Drosophila melanogaster: one gene and its partner. The protein of the gene in region 2 interacts with the protein of the main gene of each other region in a pairwise test. Each region holds a gene or a part of one and is shown on either strand. Other genes may lie near its edges.

Evidence for each region.
Region 1: the proteins of hkb (region 2) and CG2889 interact in a two-hybrid assay, tested with the Drosophila melanogaster proteins (one large-scale study listed by BioGRID).

Annotation. Positions count from the first base shown.
Region 1 is NC_004354.4:10,471,782-10,477,759, reverse strand, and holds CG2889 (uncharacterized protein), read right to left. Parts: upstream 3,823-5,978; 5' UTR 3,675-3,822; exon of another isoform or gene 3,085-3,674; intron 3,045-3,084; exon of another isoform or gene 2,972-3,044; 5' UTR 2,743-2,971; coding exon 2,620-2,742; intron 2,559-2,619; coding exon 2,138-2,558; intron 2,080-2,137; coding exon 1,635-2,079; intron 1,578-1,634; coding exon 1,365-1,577; intron 1,153-1,364; coding exon 609-1,152; 3' UTR 559-608; downstream 1-558. Other genes in the region: CG2887 (uncharacterized protein), read left to right, coding at 1-365; nocte (no circadian temperature entrainment), read left to right, coding at 5,791-5,880, 5,977-5,978.
Region 2 is NT_033777.3:4,344,305-4,348,667, forward strand, and holds hkb (huckebein), read right to left. Parts: upstream 2,343-4,363; 5' UTR 2,200-2,342; coding exon 1,545-2,199; intron 1,480-1,544; coding exon 1,241-1,479; 3' UTR 711-1,240; downstream 1-710.

The DNA of each region.
Region 1 (5,978 bases), on a different chromosome or scaffold from region 2:
ATGAGGGTATTCAACTGCCCAACCTTGAGCCCGCCAACGTCGTGTTTATAATCCGGGACAAGCCACACCCAATCTTTCGCCGCGATGGCAACAATCTGCTGTACACAGCCGAAATCTCGCTGAAGGATGCTCTGTGCGGTTTACACGTGATGGTGCCGACGCTTCTTGGCAGGCCGATGGAACTCAAGACCGACGTGGGCGAGGTAATCAGTCCGAAATCCGTGCGCCGCATTCTGGGCTACGGATTGCCCGATTCCATTAATAATTCCCGTCGCGGCTCCATCGTCGTCAGGTTCTCCATCCAGTTTCCAGACGCCATATCCAAAGAACTCGCATCCTCGCTCGACAGACTTCTGCAAAACTGATCGAATGGACACCTGGAGATGTTATCCGTCTTTATGAACGGATCAACGGATCATACATACAACAAAAAATCATCTGTGCTCCACATAAAATTACATATTTTTTTTCTATGTGATTCAATAAAGATCTTATAATCTACCTCTAACAAGCATTGTCCGCTACAAATACCTCTAATAAGAATGAAACCAGTGAAGTACAGTTTAATTATACGTATAATGATTAAACACAATTGTGAGGGGTCAGGTTTAAACGTCGGCCGGTTTGAACTGCGGATTGTGCGAGCGTGCCATCTTGGCGCGCAGCCACTCGTCCGCGTGACGCTGCTTAATGTGGACATACATATTGGAGCGGGAACGGCACTCCTTGGGGCAATGCGGACAGTTGTACAGCTGCAGGCCCGTGTGGATGGCCATGTGCTCGTCCAGGTTGCGCTGCTGCTTGAAGGTTTTCTCGCAGAACGTGCACTGCAGATTGGTGGTCAGCTTGTGGGCATATTTGACGTGACCGCGGAGCGCTGTGCGCGATGTGCAGGTCTTGCCACAATGCGGACACACGGTGTCCGTGCTGTCGTGTGTGAAGCGGTGCAGGCGCAAGCTGTGCTCGTTCTTCAGCCAAACACGGCAGATGGGGCACTCCACAGCCGGGGCCACGACGCCCTGGTGCTCCAGCAAATGGCGCTCGAAGGAGGGCTTGAACTTGAACTTCTTCCCGCAAATGTCGCAAACGTGACGATGCAGGTCTTCGTGGATGGATTGGATGTGCCTTCGCAGGCGGTGTACATTGGCAAAGCTGTAACAGATAATTTCATATCAAATACTCAACTTGCAAGACAGTTTTTTTATCTTAAAAAAATTATTTCTTTCTTGCTATTCTCGAAACAGTGTGAGTGCGGAATAAGTAGACAGCTATCCCTCTCATTTGCGTGTGGAATGAATAAAGATTACTAATTCAAATATGGGGCAAGAATTCCAATTCGATCAGAGACCCTGCTCTATTCTCACCTTTTGCAGCAGATCTCGCAGGTGTGCTCCAGTTGATCGGTGTCGTGCTTGGCCAGATGATTGGCCATACGGCGCTCGCTGCTGAAGGTGCGTTCGCACTTGGGGCACGGGAACTTGAGCACCTTGCCGATTTGAGCCACCTTGTTGTGCACCGTCTCGATATGAGTGGCCAAGTAGTCCTGCGAGTTGAGCGACTTCTTGCAAATGGTGCAGCTATGGGATTTTAAAGTCTATGTAGCAACAGACAGAACCCTCGGGCTTCAAACTCACGTAAATAGCTTGGGGTTGATATGTTTGCGGATGTGGTCCATCAGCTTGGAAGCGCGTGTAAAGACTTTGCCGCAGCACTTGATGTAGTACTCGCGCTGGTGCACCTCCAGGAAGTGGGTCTTCAATTCGGATAGGTAGGGAGCACTAAATTCGCACAGGTCGCAGCTTGCACTCATGTAGCTAGCAATGGCCTTCTCGTAGCTCTTGGCCAGCTGAGCACGGGAGCAGCCCTTGGGCTTGCGCTCGAGAACGGCCTGTAGCTCGGACTCCTGCGACTCGGTGGTTGTTCGCTGGTCAGGTGCCTTCCTGCGCCGACGCTTGCCACCATCGTCGAGCAGATCTGCAAGCTCCTGCTGCAGCGATATCGGACCCTGATCCTTGGAGGAACGTGCCGAGGTTTTGCGCTTGGGCTTCATTTTCGATTTCAGACGGACCAGGGGTTCATCTGCAATGGAACAGGAACTTAGTTACGGCTAATCCTTGGGAAACATTAAGATAATAACCATCTGAGGAGTCAGATTCAGATTCCGGCTGCCCCTCGGTCACCTCCGGTTCGCTATCACTAGCTTGCAGGCAGGGCTTCTCGTCCTCCTCCTCCTCGCAGGGCAGCTGCTCCTTGATCGGTTCCCTGACTTCCACACTGTCCACATTCACGTCCAGCACGCTTCCCAGCAGACTAAGGTTGTGCAGGTCCAACGGTTTCTCGTCCATGTCGCCAGCCGCCAGCGGCAGTTCGTCGATGTTGACGTCCACGTCCACACCGCCCGTCCACTTCATGGCCGCACAGTCGACGTCCACGGTAAGGAACTCCTTCTTGAGTGAGCACTGCTTCTGCTCCACCAGCTGCCAGAAGCCATTGAAGTCCTCCAGATGCTCACAGCACTCGGTACAGACGCTGGTCGAGATGCCGTCGTCTGGTAGGATCTGCATGGGATGGCTTATTGGAATTGTTTTGATACCATTGGTATTTGCCAGATACACTCACCTCCAGCTGCAGAAACTTCGCAATCATCTTGACCAGGCGCGTCTCCGCAAGCGTATCGTCCGTCTCAAAGAGGAAGACAGCGCTTCCGGGACTAAGACATCGCAGGCAAAGGCGACAAATCATTTCGCGCGAACAGAACCACAACGCAAAGTCAAATAAATAAAAAATTTAAACAGTTTTTCGTTGTAAACAACATAATTCACCTATCGTGAATCGATAACAGAATCCAATTGTGAATGGCAAAACTTCATCTCAGGAGTTTTTTGCGGGGTGGCCACCCTGATCGTTGAGTATTTCTCTTTAATTTCTCTTACAATTTATGGTCTACGTTTTTAATTGTCTGCAAAATACGCTGTAAACGATTATCCATTAATTAAAAATCGAAAATATGAAACTTAATATATCGCTGGATACACATCAAAACGATGGCATTCTGCGGACGGTCAGGCAGCACGCCAATCGACCCACACAACTCTGGCAACGCTTGCCGTAAAATGGCAAAAAAATAATACATACGATTTAAAACTAATGGACAATTACGTATTACGTGAAAAGAACGCAACGCAAATAATCAAAACAAATAAGAAACGCAACTCGTGTGCGTGTGTAGTGTGTGTGCAGAGCTAAAACCTAGCGAAGGAAAGGCAAAAACCCGTGGAAAAAGCGAATTCAAACGGGTTTACTCGAAGCCTCCTCACCCGATACCATTTTCCACCTACACTTGCAAAAAAGCGACAGCGCGCGAGAGGGACGGCGCGAGTGAGCGGAGAGTGGGAGAGCGCAGTGCAAGTGAGTGGGAGCGAGAGCGCTGACAAAGCCAGCGCAACATAGCGAAAATCGCAACCAAATCGAAATCGAAATTCAACCAAATCGAAGATTCTGGCGAACAAAGGCGACTAACAACAACAACTGCAGCAGCGGCACGTCTCGTCTTGGTTGCGCTCTCTTTTGTTTTCGTCCCGTGTTTTAACAAGCGGCGAAACGGGCGCTGAGTAAGCGCCAGAAAGAGTGCAAAAAAAAGGCGAAGGAAAGAAAGAAGCCAAGGAGCAACGAACTGTGTTTGCGGTGTGTGCTCTGCGTGCGAAAGGGTAAGCTCTATGGTCTCTCATGCTCTCGCTCTGGAAGTAGGCCGGAACCGAGATTTGTTTGCTAAATTATGTTTAATTGCACAGCGGGTTTGTAAATCTGTGATTTTGTTTGTAGAAAATACGCATTGTATCAAAGAAATATTTTTGTCGGTTCTGTCAAATTCGACGTGTGGGAGTGGGAGGGAAGTTCAGCTAGTCATGTTGTCCCGCTCTATATCGCAAACAGCGTTGCATTTGTCGTCGGCAGGTCATCGTGGTCCGTTTTCTCTTTTTGTCGGCATCGATGCATAGAGTCCGTGTTAATTTCCGTTTAATCGCTAAATAGCACGCTCTCTAATTGTTTAATAATTGCCAGGCGACTGCCACCCCCGGAATTAGTTTCACTCGGCGGTCTGGCTGGATCCCAACGGACCAGGTGGCAACGCCGCGCTCCACACCACTCACGCACGCAATACATTCGAAAAGTGAGAAGTGGTAGAGGAAGAACTCGAGGAAGAAGAATTAGCGGCAAACTTTATGTTGGACGGTGAAAAGCAGAATCAAAAGATATCAATTTCCGCGAAGTTAACAGTTAAATAACCAACATACAGGCGGCCAAGTGTGCCAGCAGACCGCGAAACATTCGAAGTAAACAAATTCAAGCGTTTTCCATTCAGTTTATCATCGCTGCCCAACAAACGAAACTCCCCGAGTGTATTGCTGTGTGCGTGCGTGCTGTTTAAACGGTATATTTTACTCGTCTCTCCTCTTTGTTTGCCTTTGCCAGCCACTGTGCCATGCAAAATTAATAAAAGGATACGGCTGTAAAACAAAAGGTGGTCAAAAAAAAAAATTGCACTCGTCGATTAAATAATAACTATCAAATCCTCTCGGTTTCTGCGAACGTAAGTGTGTGTGTGTGCGTGATGTGTGCGCCTGTGCCTGCGTGGTGTTAGTGTGCGTTGTGCTTGTGAATGGTTGTTATTACAAAAAGGAGACATAGAATTGTTGCCAAGCGTTTAGATTGTCTTGTACTCCCCCCACTTGCATCTGTCAAATTGGTTACATTTTAAATGCCGGCCTTTGTTGTTGTCGCTCTTGTTGCGAGGATTTTACTGGCCCCGTTTTTTCTATTGTTGCTGTAGTTGTCAGCCATTGTTCGGCCGCCCCTTCACGCCCCCTGCCGCAATTATTACAAGACGCCACCGCAAAAAATTCTTTCAATGCGTTGCCGCTTCTGCCGCTGCTGGCGCTGGTGTGTGTGTGTGGGTAAATCTATCTAGCTGTCCCGCTTCCGCTGTCACCCGCCCAAGGCAGCCTCTCAGTTGCGTGTGCTGCGAGGCACTGGCTGTCCTGCTCGCACCAAACATTGCCTGCATTCAGTGTCGGATCAAAGGGGGGAGCGAAACTGGGAAATAGTTGCCCCAAACGTTTTCGTAATAAACGCAATATCAACAAAATACCAAATGATTCTACAAACAGTTTCGAATGGTAGTAGTCGAATGGAATTACACTCTAGTTGTTACTTTAACGAAGCATTAAGAACTTGAACGTATTTCGCAACAGCATGTGTTGGAAAACTACCAAGAAACTTCTTTAGTTTCAGTGGAAATGAAATATCAAAAGCATTTCTACTAAAACTCGGTTTAGTTGAAACCCATACCTATTATTGTTTGAAGAGGTTATTTTCCAAATTATTTGCAATATCTTTCTAAGAAGAACCAATTTTCGCTACAGATCCACCTCTGTAAGCGTTAGTGGTGCGGATCGGTTGGGGGTGGCTAAATAGAGGAGTTCCCGGACACACAATAACCAGCGTGTTGAAAACAATTTGTCGGGAGCACCACCCACTTGCAACTGACTAGCCTCGCCTCGCTACGCCTGCACCTATACTCAATTAAATGCCTATCTACGCTTTTGTATTTTGCAGCCCACCAGAAAGACTGAAACAAGGAGCTTCGGCCCAAAAGCGATCCCAGCTCCTTAAACTCATTCTCGTCAAGAACCACAGCCACATCCTAGCCCATCCTCCAGCGCAGCGGGAAGACGAGGAGCGCGGCGGTGGCGAGAAGGAAGCTAACGCTAATGAGGATCTATTGGCAGCATGAGTACACTGGGGGGAAGTAGGGGAGAGCGAAATGCCAAGCCCAAATTCACAGCGTTAGATATAAATCGCATGTACAAGAATAGCCGCGTAAGTAGCGAGCCCCTAGACCTAGATCTAGATCTACATCTAGATCTTGATAGATCCAAACCTATCTGATCGCCAACTTGTTCTTATTGTTTGCAGGG
Region 2 (4,363 bases):
AGCGGACAAATTTTCGATTGTCCGGGAAGCTGGGTGTCCACCTAGATCCGCTTTCATAAACTGCACCTATTGTCCGCTTTTAGAAGTGCCATTGATAGTGACCAGGAATCGATTGCTGTTCGAACAACGAATTCCAAACAAAAACACATAGGTAATTTTTCGACTTGTCGCAGACACTGTGTCTAGGTCTCTTTGCTCAGGTGAACCACTTTATTGTCCTAATGAATGACGCAAGCTGTCAGCTGAGTAATGGCGAATTTACGTGGGCACATCTGGACCGAAAGAGGACTGTGGGAAAGATTGCCAGCGACACGAATGCACTTTTCCCTTAGTTTTGGCGCTGCTCATTATCGCGGCTTGGTCGGTTTCAGCTTGTCTGGGGTGCTGTTTCATTTTGGGTAATTTGTGAATGAAATTTGGATAGATTCGGACCAAATGACTTGTGCCTTTTAATCCTTTTATGACAGTTCAAATGCGATTTTCCGATTTGCCTTTGATATTGGCGGCATGACGAGCGGTTTGTCGCACGATCTGGTTAACGGGAAGTGACAGTGGATCATTAACATGTAAAGGTAATGGTTCTTGGTTTTTAGCTCCTCGTATACTCGTAATGGAACTATGCATTTAATCATTGGGGAACAAAATTGCAAGTTCTATGTACATTTCTCCTCATTTCTAACACCGCCCAGGTAATAAAGGTCTTTCTTGTACGGTTTTTCTTGTGTATTTTGTGTTGTAAACATAAATCGTATAATTCAACTCTCAGATATAACCATGATCGTATAATTTTGTGTATAAATCGTATGTATCTGGTAACCACGATCAGCTTATAAAACTGTTAAAGTATCAGCTTTAGTATAACTTAGACGTAAATCCGGGCATCTCTTAAATTTCTTAATCGCTTAGCATATGAGGAAGGATCACTTAGGGATTATTTACACATGTGCCGAATATCATAACCAGTCACGTAGCTGGAAGTGTAAATACGCGTTAAAAAATAAATATCTCAATATTTGCATATATCGTCGAGGTCCAAAGATTGGGTTTGGTGAGTGCGCCACATTGCGCCAGGTACGGCTGAGGTAGTTCTGTCCACGATTGGCTAGGCAGTTTTTGCTGGCGTTAAGTTTCGTTTCGTTGGATTCGGTTCGGTAATGCTTGTTTAAAGCGTGCAAGCGCTTTACAGATCGCTGGAATGCAGGGTCGCGTGGCAAGGGGAAAGCTCGCCAGGATTTCCCTCTCAGTAGCCATAAAGGTATGAGTACATGGGCACGAAGATGGACGGGCCCAGCTGGCGCTCCTGCGGCATGTGCGTCTTCATGTGCTTCTTTAAGTGGTCGCGTCGGCCAAACTTCTTTCCGCAGGCACTGCAAGGATACGGCCGCAGTCCGGTGTGGATTCGCTTGTGACGCGTCAGTTCCTCATTGCGGGTGAAGGTCTTGCCGCATGTGTTCACGTCGCACTTAAATGGGCGTTCGCCTGCAGAACAGAATGGAGATAAGTGAGTGGGACTCTCGGGGTCAGATGTGTTCTGGTCGACTTACCGGTGTGGATGCGGATGTGGCCCTTCAGCTGGCCGTTGTTGGAGAAGGCCACGTCGCAGTTGGGGCACTTGAACTTCTTCGGCCGCTGCTTGCGGCTGTTGAGCGCCTTTAACTGTGCGTCCTCGGCCATCACGCGGGCGTACTCTTGCTCCATCAGGCCCATAGTGAACGGGTCCATGCCGAAGCCCGGGACGGCAGTGGGCGTGGAGGCAGCAGCGGCTGCTGCGGCGGCGGCAGCGTAGTAGAGATCGCTGGCGGCCGACAGGAATGGAGCGTGCTGGTTTGGCGGAGCCAAGGATGCGGTGGCGGCGGCGTGCGTGTCCAACGGCGACGACTGCGGGTGTGAAAAGACGGGGTGCGGGGCGGCGTCCAGCAGCGGGGTGGAAGTGCGGGTGTAGCTGCTGTGGTTCAGGGCCTCCTCGTAGCAGGACTTGCTGCTGTTGCTGCTGCTTGACGCAGAGGAGGATGCGGAGGAGAAGTCTCCGTCGCAGTCGTGGCCGAAACTGCTGCTGGCCAGCTCCGTCTTGATGGTAATCGCCTCCGGCTCCTGCTTCACTGTCCTGGGTGCCGCCGAGGTCGCCGCCTGGCGCTGAGTATCCCAGGGTCGGAAAAGTCGCGAGTAGGTTTGCGGGGGATGCAGGTTAATCGTCGACATTTTGCAGTAGTTTTAATGGAAGGTCTAAATTGCTCTCTCGCGACACTAAATCACTTGGATGGAACACTTGTGATTATGATTTTGGACTTGATTTGGTTGTGCGGAGCTGTGTGTGTGCTGCGAGATCTCGACTCGAACTGAGCTCTCCTGCCCCGACGCCTCTCAATTTAAACCCAGGACTCTGGCTACCTACACTTCGTATACCCAGGCAGTCATTCGTCCTGCGTTCACACACACGCGCACACACATACACACTCACCCGCACACGCACACGCACACTGAGGGTCGCTTCATTCATCGATTATTTGTCTGTCTGAGGATGTGCGAGCGAGAGGGATGCTTCGGGGTGGGTTTCGCTTTCAGAAACGGGCACGGATTCGGTTCGGTTCGGTTTCGAGGGCACAACAATGGCGGCCCGCTCGCACACACACTCGCAGCTGAAGTATATAAGGCGCTGGTGTGTGCGTGTAGTCCTGCGTAGTTTTCCCGGTCCGGAAAATCGAACTCCCGACCGAGTGGCGGGCAGCTTTCCTAACTTGCGCTTTCTACTCTTTCCACTCCGTACTACATATACTGGGCCCAGGCGATCCCAGCAGCGCGGTGCCTCCGATTTGGGCGCAACTTTAGCAGAGCATTTGCGTTTCACGGTTATGTTATGAATTGTACTCACACCCACCCACCGACCATGATTCCCGGGTGGTTGGCTTTGGGCTTGGCTTGGCCCACTCTCCCAATCCCAATCCCACTCCCAATCTTATACCCATTCCCAGTCACAGTTTCCTCCTCCTTCCCTCCGTCCAGACACAGATACTTCTCCAAATGTATAATTCGGTTATCTGCGGTTCGGGTTTCCTGTGCCCGATGTGGCAGCAATTTATTATTAAATTAAGTGCTTGTTCGAGGGTGGCTCCGCGACATCACGAATATGCAAAGTGCGGGCCAAGCAGCTGGGCAGGATTTGCAGAGATTGCCAGGCTTGAGCGTGTTGTTCAGTTGGTACAGTTCGCCTAAACTTTATCTTTATCTCTGGGGGTGCTTGAGAAAAACTTTACTGGCTCGTGGAGGCGTTTGCCCTAACGCGATTCTGGCTGCAGACTACGAGAACAGATACAACATACTTTGGCTGAATGTGCGTTGCTACACCTAATGTTTTAATTTAGAAGGCGATATTGGCTTTAAGAGTTCGTGTTTAAGTTCACAAGTTTTTCGCATGCATTGGTAGCCGCTACAAATTGCTGTTGCGTTTACTTTCCACTCCAATTTTCTGTATGAATTTGAGTTTAAAGGGAAAATGGTACTTAATATTAATACATACCCTCTAAGGATTCCCACGATAGGATTAGTAGTGTTCTGAGTTCAATCTTATTTTCTAGTCAACAAGCATTGGAAGTAAGCCTTCTCTAAATTATGAATATATGCCTCCTATTTTTGCAGCCAAATGTATTATATACCTCTATATTCTTCGACAGATACCTGAAATAATTTCGAAATCAAATTCTAATTCTAATCAAGAGACGACGGATACAGCATATAATCATAAAAATGTTTGCTGCTAGAATTAAAAGAAAGATTTGCGGAATTGAACGAAATATTTTCGTTTTGTTGTTTTTTAAAAGAGTATAAAACTGCTGTCATCGGACCAAAGCGATAATAACTTCCTAAAAGATATCTGCTTTCTAGGGAAGGTGCATTCCGCAGGCCTAGCGCCTTATGCCCCTGTCCTGCCATTTAGAACAAAAGGGAAATCATTGGGATTACGTCCAACTGCATTGTTCGACCAATGCTAATGAGTGCAGCGGCATGGCTGGGTTGTTGTGGGTTTGTTAGTACCTATGTATATGTAGAACCGTCCATAAAACGCGGTCCGCGGAGAACATTTCATTCACGACTGAGCTCATTTAGTAAATTCATTCATAAACTGGGATTGCCGTGAGCAGGGACGATCCTGTGATCTGGATAGATCCCTTGGTGGTCGGGTGGCAGGTAGATAGCCGATTGGGCTGGCTTGAGGGTGGTGATACTGTAAAATTCACTAGCTTATTTGCGTAGGTTTGGACTTGGGCTTGCAGCAGCCTGGGATTTTCCGCAGTAGATTCTTAAAGTAATGAGCGCCGGTATTTCCACGCAATCGTCTCACAGCCCGACGGGTCGTAAACTGCAACCT